Oryzias latipes: one gene and its partners. The protein of the gene in region 3 interacts with the protein of the main gene of each other region in a pairwise test. Links are inferred from orthologs where the notes say so. Each region holds a gene or a part of one and is shown on either strand. Other genes may lie near its edges.

Region 1 (5,107 bases), on a different chromosome or scaffold from region 3:
AGAGGACTCTGCAGAACACCAGCAGGGTTCAAACAAAGCAGCGAAAACATACGTGTAATCAGACACAAGCAAGAAGAGAGAGTGAAAAGGAAAAAAACAGATCGGAGAAACTGAAAGTTGAACTATCGAAGCAAACGGCTGCTCTGACCGGGCTGCAGATGCAGAGCGTGACGCCTCTGCTACTTTCCTTTCGTAATTACTTTTTTTATTTTTTTTTAAATATCAGTTTTGCGTAAGACACATGATGAGAAGCATTGAGTCTTTACAAGATTCTTAAGCAATAAAAGAAAAATTCTTAGTAAGGAGAGATCTAAGAATGACTGAAAGGAAATGTGAGGCAACCGAGAGCTGAGTCAGTGCACAAAGTGCTGACTCCACACTTCAGATGTTTCCAAATGACAGCTCCGTCCGTCACTTCAACTGAAGCCTTCGTCGAGCTTCTTGAAGGACTGGAACGACTCCTGTGCCCGCATCCCCACCATGTCGCAGCTCCCTGCCATTCTATTTTCTACACCAGCTAGAAGAGGGAGTTTCCAGTGTCAGTCCCTCGTGAGCTAACTCAAAAACCAGCCACAGTGACAGCCGTCGGGGAGGACGGACTGCAAATAAAGAGGAACAACACTTCTGTGGAACTGCACAGACACGGGCAAACGCCACTGCTCACACAACCAAGACATCAGTAATGAGGAAGTCCTCCAGGCTGAAAAATTCCCAGCTCGGAGCTCACCTGGTATAAATTGTTCTGGATGTCCAGGACTTCTTTGGGGAAGAGCTGTATCAGCTCCTGAGCGATGTGCGTGTCTTCATGGATGATTGCGAGGTGCAAGAGTCTGCATGAGGAATGGAAGAAAAAAAAAAAGCCCAACTGTCACAGTTTGCATAATCCCGCAGCTTTAACTTAAAAGTGTTAAGAGGGGATGTGTGAACGTATGCACAAACCTGCAGACCCACTTTACATTGAGGAAGTACAAAATGAACGGGGTAAAACCACTTTTGCATCAGAAGTTCTCATCTAAAGGAGATTGACTGGTAAACCTGGGCGGTCGGGCTACTGCAAATGACAAAACTAAAGCGGATATAAAAGGTTACGATAAAAATGGGGCCCTTTTAGGTTTTTTTCCCCCTCCTTCCTCAGTCTAAATTAAGCACCGATCCTGAGCTTCATTTCCTGCTTCGTGCAAACATTTAATTGTTACAAGTTCCCACTACGGTTTTGAGGTTAGTTTGTTTTTGCTTCACATTAAACCTCCAAATCATGTTATCATTCCAGAGAATGAATTTCCCACAAACAGCTGGACATTACAGTTAAACCCTGAAAAGTTTGAATCAAATCCCTCCCAAAAAAACCCTCATGCTTTTATGAATAAACAGTGAAACCAGAAGTGATCCGTCTGCTACCAACGGTTCCCACAAAAATCACAATGAAAACCTTTAATCTAACCTGCTAAAATGTCAAATGTCTCATGTTTCTGAAGACAACACAACAAAAATCCTCATTTTTAAATATTCTTCCAAAATGAATCAAAAGCTTTCCTGAATAGCTGCAGTGAAATGCATTAACTAATTTCATCTAAATTCAAAGAAAAAACCCCTTTAAACTAAGTAATTCCTGACATTTTCTGACCTGGCCACCTTAAATATATCAGTATTAAAATATGTGATCAAACCAATAAGTATTTGTGGTCGAAATGCACAAACACTATTTATTAAACCTGCTCCATCAGAGAGAAGGGATTTAAATGCCTGCAGGCTCAGATGAACCAAAGTCATGGCTGGAAGCAAATATTCTGGCATGCAAGTAACTTCCTTTGAGTTTGAGACGGCCTTAAATGAATAAGACCAAAAAAGAAAGGGAGAAAGAAAAAAAGAAAACTCCCACGGGGGAGAATGAGTGTTTGGAGTGATGTGTTGAAGGTGTTTTTTTTCCCCCTCTTTCTGAGCAGGTATCTATAGTTCTGGTGTGAGAATGAAACCATGTGGTTCTACCAACGGAAATGAAAAGAGGTCAGACACACAGCAAAACTTCTGCCATGCTCCGTTTCTGGCTGCAAGAGTCGAATTTTTTTTTTATCAGAACGGCGTGGCGGGACAAGGTGAGGCAGACCTTACAGAGAAAAGAAAAAGAAAAAAAACAAAGAAAAAGCTGCATCATTTAGTCAAACGGAGAAGGAAGAAGCTGCAAAAATCCACTGACATTTGATCTGTTTTTTTTTTTTTTTTTGGGAAATTCACAGGCTTGTGTTTGACTTGGTGGCGAGGGAAATGCAGACTTGAGTTGTCCTGATCAACAAGTTTCTTGGATGAAAAGCAAACTATCCAGCTACCTCACAGCATGTGCTTTGTCTGAACTGCAGGGGAAGTCCAGGCCTATCTGTTTCACTTCTGTTTTCTTACTGAGTAACGCCTTACAGCAGACCATCCACATTCATAATATGGAGCAGAGTTTTTTTTATAATAATAGAAAAAGAAGAGAAAATCTTCTATTGGTGCTGAATTTCATGGGAAAACGGACTGACAAGTCCCCTCAATGTATGCATCTCCATAAACATCTGTGTGAAACTTCTTTGATGCATTCACCTAAAATAATCCAGATTATAATAAAAGGTATAACAGCTGTAAAGTGAAGGAGCCTCCAAAGTCATTGGAGGATGCTTTTTATTTTTATATTTACATTTAACAAAATAAAAGCCTTACGTGTCTCCATCTTCCGTGATGGACGTGAGAATGTTCTCCTCTGAGAGTTCATCAGGACTTTGCGGCTGCTGCTCCTCGCCGTCTCTAAGACTCCAGTCGTGCACCATCTCTGACAGGCTGTCCGTGGTCATGGACGAGGATCCGTAAGCCGAGTCCACGCGCTCATCCGCGGTGGAAAACTTGTCCCTCGGGCCGCCGAAGTCCACGCTCGGCTCGCGGCGCTCCTCTGAGTGTAGCGTGGCGCGGTACGACGAGTCGATGCCCGAGTCTATGCGCGTGTCCTCCAGCGAGTCATCTTTGCAACGGTCGACGCGCGACATGGCAAAAGCTGCTGGCCTTGTCGGGGCTCCCCCCCCCTCCAGCCGTTTACCAGAGGAGTTAACTAGCGCGTGCCGCCGCCGATAGCTCGGTGTCCGGGCAGCCCGCTACTGCTGCAGCTGCGAGAGGAAACCACCGCTCTTTTGTGAAGCCGGAGGAATGAGCCGCTACGTCTCATAACACAAACCCACCGCGCTTCAGCTCGTAACAGTAACACCGGGCCCGACGGACACTCGTCAACTTTCCGAGGCTTTTTTTTTTTTTAAGAGGAGTTCGGGAAACTTAATCCACTCGGAGGAAAGGACGCGAAAACAAGCGAACACCAGCGGGGAGATATCCGGTTACGGCGCGAGCTCGAAGCAGAGTGCACCGAGCGACGAAAGACGAGAAGGGAAGAACTTTTGAGGGGGGAATCCCCCCTGCGCACAAATCACACACATACGCACGCATGCCCACAAACGCGCGTACATATAAAGTTCAAAAAAAGAACGTCAACAGGCTGACGTCATCACGGCGGATGTGCCACCGTTTCATAATAAAAGTTCTCATACAGCGACAGGAAGTCAAAGAATAGATGTATTTTACTTTTGTAATACATAAATACATTTTCATTGATTTGATAGTAAACCTTAATTTTTTTCATATATGTCCTCCATCATCAGAAAAATGCCAAGAACATGTTATAAAACACCAAAAACACAATTTTCTTTAAAGTGAGTTTGAGTTCAAACAATCTAAAACCAAATGTCTGAAACGAAATTGTTGCCCTTTAACGTTTTTTTCTTGTGTTTTCTTTCTATTTGTCAAAAGCAGTTCCACGTCATATGTGACACAAAAACTTTGTCCTATATTTAGTTATTTTTACAGACCTTTAAAATAAACACATGGGTCATTTAGTAAGTCTTTGTACCTGAAAGTTCAATTTAGCTGGCCGCTTTGGACAAACACAAAAATCTGCAAGGTTTCAGAAAATGCATTAACTGAATAATCTTATTTTCACTCATATATGTATTCCTAAAATTCCATAGAAGGTACTTATTTTTATGGGACTAAAGTGTTTTTTGAGTTCTTGAGAAATGTGATCCATGTAGGTTTTGTATTCACACGATACAAATGATACAAATTATGCAATGAGCGGGTTGATCATCACCTCAACATGGATCATTCATTTCAGTTATCCTTTGTAGTTTCATATAAAGTAGACTTTTTTGTGCATATTTGGCACAATCGTATAATATACTCATAAGTACTGCCATGTAAAAAAGCTAGTATGTAGGTAATGACTGTAAATGTAAGGAGATTTAAATATTGGTGTCTTTTTTCATGTGTAGTAACACTTTTTCTTACATTTTAATAAAAGCATCTTTTGTTTTGCCTTTCAAAGCTGATGTTTTTCTTTTAAGAGGTTGCATTAATCTATAAATACTAACCTCGTTAAACTGTGTGCACATCTTTTTTGCCTTTCTGCAACACAATACCTGACTTTTTAAAAATAATGCAATCCGAATGAGCCCGGGTCTCAAGAGGATAAATAAAATATAGAAGACATATTGTGGAAAAATTAGTGTTTCCAAGTGTATATTGCTCCTAACCCACTGCTTTTAACGCTGTTATGCTTTCTCAGTCCACTTTATTCAAGTCAACAATCGATACTATATTAAAAAAAAAAACATGCATTCTGTGCAGGATTATGGAGACACAAACACAGTGAGGCACAAATCGAGAATGAAAAATGTTATTTCATACATGCTAAACATTTCTTTATCTTTTTTAGAGCTTATTACTCAACTTGTGCTTTCTTTTAACACCGTCACTGAATGACCAATTCCTTTTTTTTGTTTAAATTTCTGTTTCACAGGATTGTAAAAGGGTTACATTTTTTGAGTGTTTGTAAAGCCTAATAATCCAAAACTTCTATTTTCTAATCAAAAGCATAATCCGTAATATATCAGTAACATAATGAAATACAATATTAGGGAAAATGCATAAAAACAATGTTTATAACCCTTGTGCTATCTTAGATGACCCCACCCTTGCATTGACGTGTTCTCCCTACCATGACAAAGGTGGATAAAGGTGGAAAGATTTCATGTAA
Region 2 (5,147 bases), on a different chromosome or scaffold from region 3:
TTGACAAAAAGAAAACTTTGGCGTTTAGAGTGATAAAAATCATTTATTTTTTTCTCATTTATTGATTCTTATCTGCCGTTTTAAATAAAAAAAGTACCGTTTACATGATTTTAAATGCATACTTTAATGTTCTTACATCCAGTAAATAGACGTGTGCAAACGGTAAAATGTTTATTGTAGTTTGATCTGATAATCGTGGATCTGGATTCATGAATTGGATTTCCACCGAATTAACAGCTTAAGTTGATCACATGCAGTATTCTCCACAGTCTGATATGTTAAAAGGAAAAAAGTCAAATTTCTAAATATGAATGTAGTTTTGGGAATGACCTCAGAGACAAACACCTGATCCAGGACCCGCCACTTTGGGCCCAAACACCATTTGGATTTCTGACAACACCAAGACACAAAAGAAAACATTTGCCGTCAGAATGTTAATACTCACTCATCATCATCCTCATCGTCTTCATCTTCATCATCATCCAAGTCCATTTTCATCTTTTTCTGTCAGCAGATCAGAAGAAGGTAAAAACCAGCACATCACATTTTATGGCATTTGTTAAAGTTTTTAAGTCAAACCTGAGATTTGGCAGCAGGGGATGAAGCAGGCCTCTTCTTTGATGTTTTCACCTCCTCCTCCTCTTCCTCCTCGTCGTCTTCCTCTTCAAAGGATTGATCCGCCTCCATCACTGAAAGCAGATTAGACAGCAGATGGTGTGATGAATGCAGACCCACAGAAGGGCAGATAAAAGAACCATCTTCAGAAAAACACTTACTGACGAGGTGCTGTCCGCTCAGATGGATCGGACCGGAACCCGCCTTCAGACGGAACACTGCTGGGGGTGTGATCGTGAACCCGCCGAGACACACCTACGAAATCAAGCATGCAAGGTCACACAAGCTGGCTTTAAAGATCCATATTTAAATGCGCCGAAACAAACAGAATGGGCTTCAGGAACTTAACCTACAACACATCAACGTCACAGATCTTTTCTTCAGAAAAAAAAAATTATTCCGAAATTTGAGATCTGTCAGTACAGTCCTCCATACAAAGGCTAACTGTAAAATATCCTTTCAGGTGAGTGAAGGAGAACTGTGTGTACTTACACTTGGAAGGGTGGAGGGTTTGAGTGACACCAGAGCTGCCTTGATTTTCTGCCCCTCTGCGTTCTGTCCTTCCACCTCCACCATGTTAAGCTCGTCTTTGGTGCTGGGGTCAACACAAGCCTGAAGGGGCAAACAAGACAAGGTCTGAGCTACGTTTTAAACATTCTTGTAGCATTCTTCTCACAATGAAGGACATATTTAAAGAAAACTGAGCTTAAACCTGAATTTTTGAGTCTATTTTAAGTCACGAATGAGGAGCAGATGAAAGAAATGTAATTCTATTTGTGGCGCTGGTGCTACAATGAACGTGCCAAACGTTCCCTGCTCCGGTCCATCCTGCGTCGACTTGTTGACTACTAGATCCACGTCTTCCTCGTCTGAGCTGATTTGTTGCAAACTGAACGGCTGAATAGCTTCAACATTGCTCACCATTTTATTGCACTGCTAATGTTGAGCTAGATTCACATAGCCCATTGTGGACAAGCAAGGAGAGACCACCAACACGTCCAAACCTATAGCTGGAAGAGGCTTGGTGCCAAATGTCAAAACGGTGCAAATCTCACAATTTGGGCACAAAACGATAACATTTTGGTTCGTTGCCAACACCCTTGCAATGATTGAAACTGATAACCACCATGCTAGGAGAGTGTTTCGTTATTTGAAAGACAAACGCAGGCACCATCAGGCCTGTCCTAGTGTCTGGGTTCATTTGGTAAACCAGCTACTCCGAGCCCCTGACTGCCTAGATTCCAGTAGAAGCGCGAAAAACATTTACATAGTTTTACTGAGTTAGGCTGCTCAAACATGAAGTTAGGGGGCGGAGGCACATTTTTCCTGGCGGCCTGCAGAAACTATGTCCTACAAGACCACTTTTTAATACTTTTTTTTGGCATAAATTGGCATTATCATGCTTAAAAGCCACTGGGAACACTTTGACAAAAGATCAAGTGGGACTTTTAATGCATTATAATTCAATACATTTAAATTCATTAAATAAAGCCTGAAATTTAAACGCAGTTTAAAATGATAAAAATCCGCTCATTTAAACCCACAAACAGGACTTCAAGCTAAAATCCAAAATATTTCCATTGATGTGCCTAAAAATTTATTCGACATGAGAGCTCAAACGCAAGAATATCACAGAACTGTAGTCTTCATTTCATTATAATTACCAGTTTGAGATCTAACTGATGCTCCAGCTCATCATCTTCAGGACTGAAGAGCACTTCCTTCCCAGCCTCCAATGTGCATCCTAAAAGACAAAAAACGGTTTTAAAATGAGAGAAAATATCAAACTCAACACTAGAGGGCGCTCTAAACGATGCACCACGTGGGAGAAAAAAGTATTTGATTTCCGCTTAACAGTTTTAAAGTTCCCATATTTTATCTTGGATATAATTTATTTAAAATAAAAACAAACTCTAGAGACTCTAAATAGTTTTTTTTAAGTGTTGGCAGGAGTAAATTTCAAATTTGTAATGACTTACTGGAAGATAAAAACTATTTTGACTTCATTTCTAAACAACTGTTTCACCATCTAAAATAAATCTTTATGAAAGAAAAAGAATCTTTTTTTTCTCTGCACCACGTGGCAAACGAAACAGATTACAATAAAAGGACTAAAACGTATAACATCACGAAATGAAGAACAAAAGAAAATATATGCAATTGTATTATAAACAAATGTGAATAAATATAAACGTAAGTATATTTCTAAAGGGAATTAATTAGGTCAGCTTTAAAGGGGGAGGGGCCTAACGGCACGCTGGAAACCACGTTGTCGAATTTTCTAGAAATTAGTTCATGGTCTTGCAATTTAATTTAAAGCTTTTTATCTATTTATTTTTTCACAACGAATATCTTATGCTAGGGTAAATTAAAAAGCAATATTAATATGAGCTGTATTTGTCAGAAACGTAGTTTTCATTTGGGGAGAAAAAAAGCACGGCGACCGCCATGTTGATATATTCAAGGAGCATGTGCGTAATAAGTCTGACGCCGTATTTCCAGTCATGATCCAGTCAATAAAACACATAAGTCATAAAATAAAAACAGACTACACATTTTATGTCCCTTTCTTTAACGTTACACATTCAATTTTATTCAAAAATGGACCGCGCGCGCCTCAGCGGCCGCTCCACCTCCTCGCACGAGCTATACACACACGTGTGTCCAACGTGCACGAAGAAGAAAAGCAAACCTACCAACTTCTCTTACCATATAAAAATGTCTGTGGTGCCAACGATTCTTCGTCCAAACCGTTCATTTTGCTGACTGACACGACCGCCGCTGATCTGCACGGGAACAATCACTGATCGTGGATGGAAGGACTGATGGGGCTGTTCTTCTACTCTGCTGAAACGGAAGTGATCCAGTGGGTGAGAGCGCCTCCTACAGCTCGGCGGAAGTTAGTGCTTAGGGGGTGTTAGAAATTCATATTGAAAGACAGATGCATTTAAAACAATCTAAAGCTAGTTTCTGATTTTATTGATTATTCAGACGTTATTACTGACGAAAGCTTCATTTTCTTCCCAGATTTTGTGAGGCGTTTGATACAGGGTTCATACGGTCATGAAAAACCTAGAAAAGTTTTGGAAATTGAAAATGCAATGTTTTAAGTTCTTGAACAGTTTGTGAAAAACGAAATCTTCTGGAAAGTTTTGGAAAAGTCATGGAATGTTAATATTTTTGATTAAAAAAACATTAATAAAAAGGTTTTACATGAGATTCGAATTTAAATTGTGACAAAAGTTCAACCTCACTTTCTGAACGGAAGTTCCATATAAGTTTTTCTGGAGCATAATTACACTGACCAAAAATATGAACGCAACACATTTGTTATTGCTCCCATTTTTTATGGTATGAACTAGAGGGCTGCATTGGGATCGGGTCCCGCCGGGTCCCGCGGGACCCAACCCAAATCTCGCGGGATTGGGCGGTTTGAATTGTGCTGCGGGCGGGAGCGGGCGGCAAAAAATAAACCCCGCGGGATCAGTGCTGCCATGAATATCTCATGAATATATATTAGCGGACTACGTTAGGCTGTGCGGCTGTTTGATTCTTATGTACTGAAGCTCCGTGAAGGCACCAGGTAGAGACGCCCAATGGCTTCTGTCATCTAACCTGTTGTTGGGGGTGCGCCCCGCCCCGCCTCTTACTAAGAGCGCGCTTCAGGCCGTCTGTCTGCGCGCGCACACACGCACACTTTTAACCGAACAGGATTTGTGAAAATATATTTAATAATTAAGTTGCACATTACACAAAAGAGGAATGCATCAAAAGATGAGTCTGGAGGAGGTCATGAATCTCTTTAGTAATAATATCAATACAAATACGTGTTTTGTTCCTGCGGGACGGGAGACGATACAAAATCAATGCATCTCTATTACTGTGCGGGACTAAATTCTATGAGTTTTGCGGGTGCGGGCGGGAGTGGACATACATATTGCGGGAGCGGGCGGGAGTGTAACGCATACGTTGCGGGAGCGGGCGGGATTGGTCAAAAATTCAGCGGGCGCGGGCGGGAGCGGGATGAAGAAAATAGTCCCGCGCAGGGCTCTAGTATGAACTAAAAGATGTGAAACATTTTCCACATACCCAAAATAACCAGTTCTCTGAAATTTTGTTCACAAATCTGTCTGAATCTGTGATAGTGAGCACTTCTCCTTTGCCAAGACAATCCATCCCACCTCACAGGTGTGCCATATCTGATTAGACAGCATGATTATTGCACAGGTGTGCCTTAGAGTGTCACTGGCCACAAGAAAAGGCCACTCTGAAATCTTAAGTTGTATCACACAGCACAATGCCACAGATGTCGCAAGTAGTACAAGTCAATACCAGTGAGCATTTCCAGGGGGGAGGCGGGGCGATGACGTCAGTGCTCACTCGGTGTGGCTACATGCTCTGTGCGAGCCAAGCATGTCTGATCAGTGCAGCAGGAGTCTTCGTGGGAAGGGTGCTTTGTAATGAACAACGCTCCGGAGGACGCTTCAGACCTCAATCTGACCATGTCTCCCGGGAGAACCGAGTCTCTGAGC
Region 3 (4,559 bases):
TCAGCCGGTATTCATCTTTAGGAAGAGTGAAAGATTTCACATGAGGATGAATGCATGACATGTCCTAGGAAGGTAGAGATGTGTGCATCTTACCTGGGTCAGCTGGTAGGTACTGGAAGTCCACAGGCTCGCTCACTTCACGGTCAGACGGCCGCCGAAGCTGCATCTTCACCTTAACTGGCTCAACAAGGTTGGTGTCACGGTAGGGCGGCGTGCGGAAGACGATCGCCACCTGCCTGTGCACGTCCGCCTGGGAGAAGGTGCCCTTCCCCTCCCAGGAGTCCTGGAAGAAACGCACCTCGATGTCCTCTGCAGGGAGACGGGAACATGGGAGAACACCAAAGAATTGAGGAGTGTGCGGTGCTTTGACAAATCCCAGCTGGTCACAGAAAGACACCGCCGTCTCTGGAGTTTCGCTGGTAAACCAGCTTCCGTAGGGCAGCAGTCTGAAAAGCCGCCTGAATGCTTTCCTCACACGTGAAAAGGCGAATTTTCAAAGATCCAACTGTGCTGATGCACCAACGGCTTTAAGGCGACAGATTCCTGTGCTGACGAAACGTGAACGACATCAGTACCTGCAAAGCTGTGAGGTGCGAGGAAGATAAAGAAAACAAGGGCAGAGGACCAAGAGGTGGAAGTTGAGAAAGGAAAAGTGCTGTTTGGCTTTTAGGGAGGAGGTGACACATACTATGGGAGATCGGGAGGGTCATCTGCAGCTAAAGTGATCATGGAGCCAAGGAGGGTCCAGATGTGGACCGCCGGTGTAGGTACCATAACCGTTCGGCCTACAACAACCGTCAGGGGTCCTTCGAGTAGTGCTGAGGTCACATTATGTGATTGGCTGTCCGTTGGTCCGATGACGTTTTAGATAGTGATTGGTCTGGACAAATTATGACACTACCATAGAAAAAGACATTATGAAGTCCAGAGTAAGCAAACAGAGCTCCGACACAGAGCGGGGTTATCTTGTAAACGTGCTTTTATTATTGTTCTGATTATTATTAAGTCCATTTGTAGCCAAACGGCCTGCGTTCTGAACCCTTCTCCGGACCGAACACTCTAACAAAGCACCTTCCCCGCCTATGAACACGAAGCTACAAGACTCTGGCTGCTCTGATCAGAGACACGGTTCACTCTGTGGAGCAGCAGGTTCATTCTAACAGCCACAGATCTTCTTACAAAGTGGGTTGTGGCTAAATCTCTCTATAAACACTACAAACAATAATGTAGGACAGAACTTATGAAGGAAAATAACTTTACGTTGCAAAAAGAAACGTGAAATGAAAATATGTAGAGCCCGAGCAGATCTCCATGCTACATAGTTTGTCCAAGTGGGGCCACCGTAGTGTGACTGGAAGGACCCCGAACGGTAGTTGTAGGCCGAACAGTTATTGTATCTACACCGGAGAGAAGAGTCTGTTGGTCCGGATGTGGACCGCGGTCCGCCATTTGGTGATATCTGGTTAAGGGGCTCTGAGGCAGAGCTGGAGGCAGCAGAGATGAAGATGCTGAGGTTCTCTTTTGGAGTGGTCCGGGTGGATCTGGAATGACCATCAGAGGAACAGATCCTGGTTGTGGAGATCAATGCAGAGAAGCAGATGGAGAGGGTTTGGACAGGTTGAGAGGAGGAACAGTGATGATGTCGGCGAAAAGATGCTGAGGTTGGAGCTACCAGGAAAGAGAGGAAGACCAAGGAGGAGGTTCGTGGAGGAGGTTGTGTTGAGTGTTCCCAGAATGCAGAAGGATGTAGTTTCTGTTTTACTAGTCTATATCTGCACGCTTTCACATTTAACCCCTCGACGCCTAAAAATGCAAATATGCATCAAACCACTTCTGCTCCAGTCTTGCCTTAATTTAGCATCGAAAGCAAAAACTTAAGCCAATGTTTTCACAGCTGGTAACAAATTCAGGCATCAAAGGGTTAAGACACGGAGGAACACAGCATCAGAAAAGTTTGATGCTAAGTTATGAGAGCCCTCATGTCACTGGGAAAAACAAACAGACCTTGATGTGATCATTTGGTACTTTATTTTGAAAGATTCTTTTGTAGTAGGAGCCAGCGGACATGGTCTGTCGACCCCGTCTGCTGCAGAGCCCCCTCACGCATCTGCAGTAACGTCTGTTTGGTGGAAGCCTCACCTTTTTGCACTTTGTCACACAGCAGAAAGATTTCATCGCCTCCTTTGCAGGTTCCAGAGTTCCGGTTGATTCTGCAGATCTTTAACTCGGCTGTGTTTGGCGCCCCTGCAAGAAGCAAAAGTATTGAAAGACGGATACTTTCAAATAAAGAATTGTCTAAAGTTGTCCATTTGGGAAGAATTTGAGTTTTGCAAATTAATGTCAATTCTTCAAAGGTGGTCAAATCATCTTTTGATTTATTTTCAAAGTGTTCCCAGTGGTCCTCTAATTATGAGTTTGCCGTTTGTAGACAAAATAAAGCATCTGTTTTTTGGACAAAGTTTCTGCAGAGCGGTAGGAGTTAATTAGAGATTCCCCTCTGAGTTGTGGGCAGAACCGTTGCTGTGGAGTAAGCACGACCTCACTTCCCGTGATCCATCTGTTTACACTCTCACCTGCTAGCTTAACCTAGCATTAGCGGTGCAACAAAAATGGCGAGCAATATTGGAGCTATCCAGCCGTACAGTTTGGAGCCAGATTCCAGCTCAGACGAGAAAAACGAAGACGTTCACGCCTCTATTGGTCTGACAGTGGATGCAGATACGCTCGCAGATGTGATCTTTTTCAAATTACATTTTTCATCTGCTCTTGATTCACAATGATTCGGAAAACAGAAATACCCACAAATGCAAATTTAAGCTAAATTTTTGTCAGAAAAACACCACAAGAGCGTGTAAAAAACACCAAAAATCCAATTTTCATCAGAGTGCGTCTTTAAAGGGTCTAAGGGCAGGGATGCCCAGTTTATTTTAGTCTGTTTAGTTAAAGTTTACTGTTATATAATATCTATAATATAGAATTATTGAGGAATGATTCTTGTAAATCATTTCAGGCAAATAAGAAAAATCTTTCCTCCAAAGAGGAACAAAGAGCGTCTGTGGACGCAGACGGTTTCAAGCTGTTTATGACGCACCCAGTACAGTATCATTAGATCGCAAGACTTTACAGTGTTTACCCAAGCAATCAAGCTTCCCATGAGTGGAGCCCACCCGGCCTCTCTTCCTCTGCTTCCTGACGGAGGTTTGCTAAAATGTCTGAGCTTTGCTGAACGTCTTCCCAGGAAAAACTGCGGCTCCAAAGCGGGCAGACTGGTTTTCCACTCACTGTTGTCGTAGATGGGCTGTGACACGACCGGCTCCAGAGGGTACAGCTCCCCTGTGGGGAGCGTGATCTTGGCCTGGAAGCAAAGCCGCACCGAATTCAGGTCAAACTCCTCCTCCCACACCTTGGACTCAGGAACTGTAAGGGAAACCACAGAAAGGAAGTCAGGCAGCGCCGATGTGTGTTCGTGACCTGACAGCAATATGAAACAGAAAGGGCTGCTTTCACTTCTACAAGGTTTGGAGATGGAAAAGAAAAGTCATCTTGTTTCAAAGCCGGGGCATAAAAATATGACAGCAAGACACCAACTGGATGACATGCAGGGCTGTGCAGAAACAAACCACAATGAAGGCACGCAGCGCTGTGGAGATAAGGAGCCACAGAGGCTTCACAGCAGCCGTCCTTCTCATTTACACCCACTGCGAATCTGGTACCAAACACTGCATTCTGATTTCCAAAAGACTTCAGGCTTTGATGCCCTTATTTAACCAAAAACATTGTCAGCTGTCATTTTTTCACTTTAAAAGCCCCTCATGTAAATGAGACGTCCAGTTTTCACTAAAGATTACGTTCATCTTCTGCAGAAAGAAAGTGACTTAAAGTAACTGCACCCTCACGTATCACGGGTTATTTTTAGAATGACTACGTCGATAAACGAGGGACGACTGCATGGGAAAATTTGGGTGAAATAGAAAACCAAATGGGGAACTTGTGAATCAGAATAGAATAGTTTCAGTGCTTTGGCAGTGACAGCAGCTCTAAAAAAAGACCACACACAAAAAAACGCCTTATTTTTATCAAGAAAACTCATCTTTGAATTGAAACAAACAAGAACCCTTCATGAAAAAAAAACACCTTGTAACACTAAAGCCGAGTTCATACTGCATACCGTGCGTCAGTGGCATCCAGTTCCAACGTTCCAACGGACAAACGCGGTCAGAGATCCCGCCGCCCGTTTCTTTGGGCATAATGACACATTTTAGGGGCTGCAGCCAGAATTCAAATATCTAAACTTTGGCTTTCAATTCAGCCACTCAGGGACTCGGCTTTGGCCCGTGTTGTGCTGATGACGTGTTCAGCAGGTGGAGTTCAAACCAACATGGAGGAGAACCTGACCGTTCTTCTCCTGAACTTTACGTTTTGTTTGTTTTTTGGTAAGGAGACAATAACAAAAGGTTCCTCTAATTTTATATTGATTTTTGTATTTTCCCCATTATGACCGAAAGAAAGAGATCTTAAATGCAAGTGGCGAGATAGAGAAAGGGCGAGCTCGGAGTAGA

Evidence for each region.
Region 1: the proteins of putative transcription factor p65 homolog (region 3) and nfkbie interact in binary tests that used the Homo sapiens proteins (3 or more experiments, as listed by UniProt). The link is inferred for Oryzias latipes from reciprocal best matches to the Homo sapiens genes RELA and NFKBIE.
Region 2: the proteins of putative transcription factor p65 homolog (region 3) and nucleophosmin interact in a two-hybrid assay, tested with the Homo sapiens proteins (2 studies listed by BioGRID and IntAct). The link is inferred for Oryzias latipes from reciprocal best matches to the Homo sapiens genes RELA and NPM1.

Annotation. Positions count from the first base shown.
Region 1 is NC_019882.2:5,906,823-5,911,929, forward strand, and holds the start of nfkbie (NF-kappa-B inhibitor epsilon), read right to left. Parts: upstream 3,489-5,107; 5' UTR 3,015-3,488; coding exon 2,695-3,014; intron 831-2,694; coding exon 728-830; intron 9-727; coding exon 1-8. UniProt on the Homo sapiens protein: Sequesters NF-kappa-B transcription factor complexes in the cytoplasm, thereby inhibiting their activity. Sequestered complexes include NFKB1-RELA (p50-p65) and NFKB1-REL (p50-c-Rel) complexes.
Region 2 is NC_019872.2:18,721,803-18,726,949, reverse strand, and holds the start of nucleophosmin, read right to left. Parts: upstream 3,489-5,147; 5' UTR 3,374-3,488; coding exon 3,325-3,373; intron 2,360-3,324; coding exon 2,280-2,359; intron 1,228-2,279; coding exon 1,108-1,227; intron 871-1,107; coding exon 777-870; intron 690-776; coding exon 580-689; intron 505-579; coding exon 446-504; intron 1-445. UniProt on the Homo sapiens protein: Involved in diverse cellular processes such as ribosome biogenesis, centrosome duplication, protein chaperoning, histone assembly, cell proliferation, and regulation of tumor suppressors p53/TP53 and ARF.
Region 3 is NC_019876.2:27,220,878-27,225,436, reverse strand, and holds part of putative transcription factor p65 homolog, read right to left. Parts: intron 3,418-4,559; coding exon 3,283-3,417; intron 2,245-3,282; coding exon 2,140-2,244; intron 310-2,139; coding exon 94-309; intron 16-93; coding exon 1-15. UniProt on the Homo sapiens protein: NF-kappa-B is a pleiotropic transcription factor present in almost all cell types and is the endpoint of a series of signal transduction events that are initiated by a vast array of stimuli related to many biological processes such as inflammation, immunity, differentiation, cell growth, tumorigenesis and apoptosis.